Linked DNA regions of Saccharomyces cerevisiae S288C. The gene in region 1 interacts genetically with each later gene. Each region holds a gene or a part of one and is shown on either strand. Other genes may lie near its edges.

Region 1 (4,703 bases):
CAATCATTAACTTTGGACGGGGATGGCGCAAGCTTCTTTTCGCCTGAATTTAGATCTACACTAAAGAACAATAAGATCCCCCAAAATGTCGTTGCTGATGTCGGCATTGGCTCCATTATCAGCTTGCGTCATCTCTCTACCATGGGCGGTTATTTGCATTCTCATTCACACAATTATCCAGCTGGTTCGGAACAACAACAAAGCACTTTATATCCTCACATGGATGCCAATAACGATTGGTTGTTGGAACTTTACAACGCACCCGGCGAATCTTTAACAACATTCCAAAACCTAACCGATGGTACCAAGGTCAGACTATTCCACACTGTTACAAGATGTAGATTACACTCTCATGACCATAAGCCACCCGTTTCAGAAAGCAGCGACTGGCAGAAGGAGGTTTCTTGTTATGGTTACAGCGGATTCGACGGTGATGCTAATGATGACTGGGTTGTTGAGATTGATAAAAAGAATTCTGCTCCTGGAGTTGCCCAAGAACGGGTCATAGCTTTGGACACAAAGTTTAGATTGAGACATGCTATGACAGGCTGTTATTTGTTTTCCCACGAAGTCAAGTTGCCAGCTTGGGGGTTCGAACAACAAGAAGTTACCTGTGCCTCCTCCGGTAGACATGATTTAACATTGTGGTACGTTGAGAACAACAGTAACCCATTGTTACCAGAAGATACCAAGCGTATTTCCTATAAACCTGCAAGCTTCATTTCTAAATTTATTGAATCCCATAAAAAGATGTGGCATATCAATAAAAATTTGGTCGAACCTCATGTTTATGAATCACAACCAACTTCATGGCCATTCTTGCTACGTGGTATAAGTTACTGGGGTGAAAATAACAGAAACGTCTATCTATTAGGTAATGCGATCGTATGGTGGGCTGTCACCGCTTTCATCGGTATTTTCGGATTGATTGTTATCACTGAGCTGTTCTCGTGGCAGTTAGGTAAACCAATTTTGAAGGACTCCAAGGTTGTTAACTTCCACGTTCAGGTTATTCACTACTTATTGGGTTTTGCCGTCCATTATGCTCCATCTTTCTTAATGCAACGTCAAATGTTTTTGCATCACTACTTACCTGCTTATTATTTCGGTATTCTTGCCCTTGGCCACGCCTTGGACATAATAGTTTCTTATGTTTTCCGCAGCAAGAGACAAATGGGCTACGCGGTAGTGATCACTTTCCTTGCTGCTTCTGTGTATTTCTTCAAGAGCTTCAGTCCAATTATTTACGGTACACCATGGACTCAAGAATTGTGTCAAAAATCGCAGTGGTTGTCTGGTTGGGACTACAATTGTAACACATACTTTTCTTCATTAGAAGAGTACAAAAACCAAACCTTGACTAAACGTGAATCTCAACCTGCCGCCACTAGTACAGTTGAAGAAATCACTATAGAAGGGGACGGTCCGTCGTATGAAGATCTCATGAACGAGGATGGCAAGAAAATCTTTAAAGACACAGAAGGTAATGAACTAGATCCAGAAGTTGTCAAAAAAATGTTGGAAGAGGAGGGAGCTAACATTTTAAAAGTAGAAAAAAGGGCTGTTTTGGAATAAATTTCCCAGTACTCTCCACATTTTTATGTAAAGTCTTCTATAAGCTCTCGAGCGTATAATTAAAAACGAAAATAGACAAAAAAAACATCATGAATAAAAAAAATGTCTTGAAGCTGACTATATTGTCCATCTGCGTTTAGAGACACGTATTCTATTTCGCTCAAATAAGTATGATCTGCAAGTAGTTTCAGTGGTATTATCATTTCGCACCGTTTTTTTTCCAAGAACTCGTTTACGTGCCGCGAAAAGTCTATCGAATAGGCATTCGAGAACAATAGAAAAGGAACAGAAGCGTAGTACATATTATGCATAGACCCGTTTCTTTTCTTCTTTTTCGAAAATATTCTTATTGATTTAACAATTAAGCAGGTGTGTAAGATCATAACTGCTTTAAAGATGAATAAAGAGCATTTGCTGAAGGTGGATCCCATCCCCGATGTGACTATTAAACGCGGCCCTTTGAGGTCTTTTCTCATAACAAAACCCTGTGATAATTTGAGTTCATTACGAACAGTTACTTCATCTAAGGAAAAGCTTCTAGTTGGCTGTTTGCTGATATTTACTGCCATCGTAAGGCTACACAATATCTCCCTGCCAAATAGTGTTGTTTTTGGTGAAAATGAAGTTGGTACATTTGTTTCTCAATACGTGAACAACATATTCTTCACCGATGTTCATCCTCCTTTAGTGGCAATGCTATATGCAACCGTGTCCTCTGTTTTTGGTTATAAAGGGCTTTTCAATTATGGGAACATTGGTACTGAATACACGGCAAACGTTCCATACGTCGCGATGAGGTTCTTTTCTGCTACTTTGGGCATCGTGTCCGTTTTGGTATTATACTTAACGTTACGAGTTTCTGGCGTGAAAATTGCGGTAGCTGCCATTTGTGCAGTATGTTTTGCAATTGAAAACTCCTTTGTAACGTTGTCTCGTTTCACCTTGATAGAGGGACCCTTTGTTTTTTTCATGGCATGTGCAGTTTATTTCTTTAGAAGATCGGAACTTTATTTGCCAAATTCATGTAAAGCAAACAAGTCATTACTTGCTGCGAGCATTGCATTGGGATTTGCAGTTTCTTCAAAATGGGCTGGCCTCTTCACCATCGCATGGGCTGGTATTATTGTCCTTTGGAGAGTATGGTTCATGATTGGTGATTTGTCAAGACCCATTGGTTCTTCTATCAAATATATGGCGTTCCAGTTTACCTGTCTATTAGCTATTCCTGCCTTCATCTATTTTCTCATTTTCAGCGTGCATATTAAGACATTAAACGTGAATGGTATTAGTAGTAGCTTTTTTCCCGCTGAGTTTAGAAAAACTTTAAAATACAACAACGTTATTAAAGAGACTGTGGCAGAAGTTGCAGTGGGTTCCGCTGTTTCACTGAATCATGTTGGAACGGCAGGTGGTTACTTGCATTCTCATCTTCACAATTATCCGGCTGGTTCCATGCAACAACAAGTTACTTTGTATCCTCACATCGACCAAAATAACAAATGGATTATTGAGCTGGCTGAACATCCAAATGAAAATGTCACAAGTTTCCAAAATTTAACCGACGGTACCATAATTAAATTAAGACAGCTTAAGAACGGCTGCAGGTTACACTCACATGACCACAAACCTCCAGTTTCTCAAAATGCGGATTGGCAAAAAGAGGTGTCATGTTATGGATACGAGGGCTTCGAAGGTGATATAAATGATGATTGGATAATTGAAATCGATAAAAAGAGATCAGAGCCGGGACCTGCCCAGGAACATATTAGGGCTATTGAAACCAAATTTAGGCTGAAGCATTATCTAACTGGTTGTTACTTATTTTCACATCCTGAAAAGCTACCTGAGTGGGGATTCGGGCAGCAGGAAGTTACGTGTGCATACTTTGCAAGGGAAGACTTAACTTCATGGTATATTGAAGAAAACGAAAACGAAATTTCTTTGCCAAATCCAGAGAAGGTTTCTTATAAGAAAATGAGCTTTTGGCAGAAGTTTGTTGCTATCCACAAGTTCATGTTCTACCTTAACAATTATATGGATACTAGTCATGCCTACTCATCTGAACCAAAGACTTGGCCTCTTATGTTGCGTGGTATTGATTTTTGGAATGAAAATGGCAGAGAGGTGTACTTTTTAGGTAACGCTGTTTTGTGGTGGTCTGTCACAGCATTTATTTGCACGTTCATCATTGGAGTGGCTGTTGAGCTTCTTGCTTGGAAATTAGGTGTGAATATTCTACGGGATAAGCACATCATAAATTTCCACTATCAGGTCTTTCAGTACTTATTAGGCTTTGCCGCCCACTATTTCCCTTACTTCTTTGTGGGGCAAAAGTTATTTTTGTACGATTATTTGCCGGCCTATTATTTTGGTATCCTAGCATTTGGTCATGCTTTAGACCTGATTTCAACCTATATTTCTAACAAAAGAAACAATACTGGATATATAGTGGTGGCTATTTTCATGGTTGTATGTTTCTATTTCTTCAGCGAGCATTCTCCACTTATTTATGCTACTGGATGGTCGAGTAACCTGTGTAAGAGGTCCAAGTGGTTAGGAAGCTGGGACTTTTATTGCAATTCACTATTACTATCCGATAGCCACTATGAATTAAACGCTGAATCATGATCCATCCACCCGTATTCAGATTGGACATTCGTTTAGCAAAAGATTTAAAAACTACATTTGAGCTAAACTGCGGGAAAGATCTACGTACATATGGAAAAGAACCAGATGTATATGAAAAAAGAGTTCATAACCGGTCACAATGCAACACTTTCCTATCTTGTTCTTTCGTTGAATTTCACTAAACAACTAACGAATACCAAAAAAATGATCCGTATTAAGTAATGTATATACATATATATTGTCAAATACAACAAGATATTTAATAAACAAAGAATAGATGAATTAGGATTGAACCGGTAAAAGGAAAGCTGTGAACATGGTATTTCTCTTATCGGGCTTTTCAAGATCACCACTGAGTGGCATTTTAAGCACATGAGGAGATGAACGTAGGCAGATCAAAACATTCAGCCGATGATAAAGACTACAACAGCTATTTGATTGTCTTTGCATAATCGCCCTAAATTGGAGGCTTCTACAAAACAACTAATTACATATTCTTA
Region 2 (4,644 bases), on another chromosome or scaffold:
CACACTGGGGTAAAAATCGGTGACCGTGTTGGTGTTGGTGCCCAAGCCTTGGCGTGTTTTGAGTGTGAACGTTGCAAAAGTGACAACGAGCAATACTGTACCAATGACCACGTTTTGACTATGTGGACTCCTTACAAGGACGGCTACATTTCACAAGGAGGCTTTGCCTCCCACGTGAGGCTTCATGAACACTTTGCTATTCAAATACCAGAAAATATTCCAAGTCCGCTAGCCGCTCCATTATTGTGTGGTGGTATTACAGTTTTCTCTCCACTACTAAGAAATGGCTGTGGTCCAGGTAAGAGGGTAGGTATTGTTGGCATCGGTGGTATTGGGCATATGGGGATTCTGTTGGCTAAAGCTATGGGAGCCGAGGTTTATGCGTTTTCGCGAGGCCACTCCAAGCGGGAGGATTCTATGAAACTCGGTGCTGATCACTATATTGCTATGTTGGAGGATAAAGGCTGGACAGAACAATACTCTAACGCTTTGGACCTTCTTGTCGTTTGCTCATCATCTTTGTCGAAAGTTAATTTTGACAGTATCGTTAAGATTATGAAGATTGGAGGCTCCATCGTTTCAATTGCTGCTCCTGAAGTTAATGAAAAGCTTGTTTTAAAACCGTTGGGCCTAATGGGAGTATCAATCTCAAGCAGTGCTATCGGATCTAGGAAGGAAATCGAACAACTATTGAAATTAGTTTCCGAAAAGAATGTCAAAATATGGGTGGAAAAACTTCCGATCAGCGAAGAAGGCGTCAGCCATGCCTTTACAAGGATGGAAAGCGGAGACGTCAAATACAGATTTACTTTGGTCGATTATGATAAGAAATTCCATAAATAGTCTATATACGTAATATTTTTCAGAATCTCTTAAAATGCATGTCAAATCTCGGAATTTATCATGACCCATTACATAACAAGAGAAAAGTGGTTTGCATTGTATGTATACCTTAAACCAATTCTTCGGTAGTCACATGACCTATATATAGGGACATTCATTTCTTGAATAGGATATTTCTTAAACTTAAGGGAAATTTTGATGAAAATTTAGAATCTCTCGACAACAGTGCAGAGCAGTAAGTTTTATTCAATACGAAATGTGTGCAGGGTTTTACCCATTCATGTCGAGTACGTCTACATTTGTTCTGCGATTTAACTTAATACTTAGCCTACTCATATGTATCGAAGCCAAACTATTAAATCTGAAAACTGAATACCCATTAAGTAGGTACATTAATGCAATTTTCGTCCGAAAGGTAGAGTGTTAATCATGCTTTTACTTCGAAATCTAGAGTCCGAGCATGTCTGATGAGGTCCTCTTAAAGCACTTCAATTTTAAAAGAGAAGAGCGCAAATTTTTACAAAGAATGCCTATATTAATATACTGTGCTATCTAAGAGGATGGTTCAATGGTTTGAAATGAGTTGAAAAATAAAGATTTACATAGTAGCGTGTATTCTTCACATTTTTGCATTCGGTAGATTTTCTACTCAAGACCCGTGCAGATCACTATTACACTCATTATTACAAGTCATTGAGAACGAAATTTTGACATCATTACTAATAATGTTACTCATTAATACTTTATTAATGTAAGCGGTAGATAAACAAATGAACATGAAATTGGCTGCTGAAATGCTCTGATGGATTCGATTACAGTAAAAAAACCTCGGTTAAGATTGGTTTGCCTGCAATGCAAAAAGATCAAACGGAAATGTGATAAACTGCGGCCTGCTTGCTCGCGATGCCAACAAAATTCATTACAGTGTGAATATGAAGAGAGAACAGATTTATCTGCCAATGTTGCAGCAAACGACTCTGATGGATTCAATTCCTCTCATAAGCTCAATTTCGAACAGCAACCTGTACTTGAAAGGACTGGGCTTAGATATTCCTTACAAGTGCCTGAAGGTGTCGTTAATGCTACGCTGTCGATATGGAACGCCGAAGATATGCTAGTTATAGTAGGATTAGTTACATTTCTGGATTATCCTTTTGCTGCGCATAGTCTGGCGCAACATGACCAGTATATCAGGGCACTTTGTGCTTCGTTGTACGGCATGGCGCTTGTTGACTTTAGCAATTATGCTAATGGTATTCCTTGTGAAGACACATCAAGAAGTATACTAGGACCATTGTCATTCATAGAAAAGGCCATTTTTAGACGGATAGAACATAGTAAGCAATTTCGAGTTCAGTCTGCCGCCTTAGGGTTATTATACAATGCATTTTCAATGGAAGAAGAAAACTTCTCGACTCTTCTACCGTCACTCATCGCTGAAGTGGAAGACGTGTTGATGCAAAAAAAAGACTGTGAAATACTTTTGAGGTGTTTCTATCAAAATATTTATCCCTTCTATCCTTTTATGGACATTTCACTCTTTGAGAGCGATCTCACTAGTTTGCTTTTACAAGACGACAATAATCGTTGGAAAATTAGTACTGAAGTTAAAAATGTGCGCAAAAAAATAGAAACTTTGTCATTACTTACAATAGTAATGGCCATGGCCTTGATGCATTCAAAATTGGATGCAAATCTTCTTTCAATGGTAAAAGAAAATGCCTCCGAAAGTGCCAGGAAACTTTCTCTTTTATGTCATAAACTATTATGCCTCCTGGATGTATTTCGCTATCCAAATGAGAACACTTTTACTTGCCTTTTATATTTCTACGTTTCAGAGCATTTAGATCCCGAGAGTCCCGATTGTGTACTGAGCCCCACTAACTTGCTTACTCTGCACCATCTTTTAAATTTGTCCATGACCTTAGGTCTTCAATATGAGCCTTCGAAGTACAAACGTTTCAAAGATCCAGAAGTGATAAGGCAGAGACGGATATTATGGTTAGGAGTTCAGTCATTACTTTTTCAAATTTCTCTTGCTGAAGGTGATGCTGGTAAATCAAATAGTGAATATATGGAGGCATATTTAACAGACTTCGAAGAATATATTGAAGCTTCCTCAGAGTATGAAAAAAGTTCTGCGAGTGAATCGAACGTGCAAATGAATGATATTGTTTGGAATAAGTACAAATTTCACGTCATTTTGAGTAAACTAATGTCTGATTGCACTTCAGTTATACAACATCCGCAGCTTTTCCACATTTTAGGAAATATTAAAAGATCTGAAGATTTTATGGCTGAGAACTTTCCTACAAGTTCGATTTACCAACCCCTTCATGAAAAGGAACCAAATGCGATCAAAGTTGGCAAAAGTACGGTTCTCGATGTCATGGATATTCAAAAAACTGAAATATTTCTTACAAATATTGTGGGAAGTATGTGTTTTTTAAACATTTTTGATGTCCTATCGTTACATTTTGAAAAAAAATGTGTTATGCACTGGGAAGAATATGAAAAGAACTATCATTTCCTTACTTTGAAAAGTTTCAATGCATACTTAAAGCTAGCAGGGTTGATATCTGATTATCTCGAGAATAAGTTTCAAGGGAACATTTTAGAGAGTCGCGGTTATATCATAGATAAACAAATATGTTTTATGCTTGTAAGGATCTGGATGTTCCAATGTCGTATTTTGTTAAGGTTTTCATACAAGCAAGAAAGTCAGAAAAAATTGGCCTCTTCCAGTATATCCACTAACGATAATGAAAAAGAAGATGAAATGATTGTCATTTTAGAAAGACTTATTAAACACATTCGTAACCAAATGGCACATTTAGTGGATCTAGCAAAGGGAAAACTTCAAGATAGTTACTTTGGTGCTTACCAAACTGTTCCCATGTTTAGATACGTTGTGTATTTGATCGATGTTGGCGGCTTAGTATCTGTGACAAATGGGTTTTGGGATAAGATTTCCAGTGATGGTGAAATACCGCCAAAAGTACAACAAGCCGTGAGATTGAAATGGGGATTGGACTGCAATAATTCGAGAAGAATCAAACAAAAGTTAATAAGCAGCCAGAGTTTGCAGAGTTTCAATCAAGTTCTGTTGTGCCAGATGGAGGATGCAGTTCTCTCCAGTTCCTTCGCAATAAAAGCCAATACCGCTATGTCCCAAAACACGGCTGAAGAATTTTTCAATATCAGCGAAGAAGAGGCTTTAAATCAACTATTGGAAAACAACAATTTTGATGCCTTCTGGGATTTATTAGGTGAAAATCTGAGCGATATGCCTTCTTTGTGAGAATACGGATATTTGGAAAGGCTAAAAAAAAAAAAACAAGCCAAAAACAAGAAACACTGTTATCCTCCACGTTTTTTCCACTGTTTTAAGACTCGACAAGACGGAAAGATTCCTCACATTTCGCAGTGTTTCTTTTAACCTGCTCGTCAATTTGAAAAAATGAGCATGGTTAGGCAGGCGGAATGTAATAGGTGCGGTGCGTATAAATAAGTATCTCGGCCGTTCCTCTATTGCGCTCGGCCGAGATGTCCTACATGCATAAAATAGATTAAAAAAAGGGATCACGATACTCAAATATGCATATAATAACAACAACACACTTTGCGGTAAATAGAAGGATAATATCGTAATCTTTTGCTGGTTTCGATGATGACTTGAAAAAATTCAATTACTCTTTCGATCATCTAGAAGAAGCATATCCATCGTGCTTAAAATGATTGGGTCCGCGTCCGACTCATCTAGCAAGTTAGGACGCCTCCGATTTCTTTCTGAAACTGCCG

Evidence for each region. A genetic interaction does not mean that the proteins touch.
Region 2: mutations in PMT5 (region 1) and RDS1 together harm fitness more than expected from each alone (negative genetic interaction), as found in Saccharomyces cerevisiae (one large-scale study listed by BioGRID).

The regions. Positions count from the first base shown.
Region 1 is NC_001136.10:287,938-292,640, forward strand, and holds PMT5 (putative dolichyl-phosphate-mannose-protein mannosyltransferase PMT5), read left to right. Parts: upstream 1-1,971; coding exon 1,972-4,203; downstream 4,204-4,703. Other genes in the region: dolichyl-phosphate-mannose-protein mannosyltransferase PMT1, read left to right, coding at 1-1,575. UniProt on the Saccharomyces cerevisiae protein: Protein O-mannosyltransferase involved in O-glycosylation which is essential for cell wall rigidity. Forms a heterodimeric complex with PMT3 and more rarely with PMT2 to transfer mannose from Dol-P-mannose to Ser or Thr residues on proteins.
Region 2 is NC_001135.5:309,313-313,956, forward strand, and holds RDS1 (Rds1p), read left to right. Parts: upstream 1-1,645; coding exon 1,646-4,144; downstream 4,145-4,644. Other genes in the region: ADH7 (NADP-dependent alcohol dehydrogenase), read left to right, coding at 1-843; AAD3 (putative aryl-alcohol dehydrogenase), read left to right, coding at 4,578-4,644. UniProt on the Saccharomyces cerevisiae protein: Zinc cluster transcription factor involved in resistance to cycloheximide.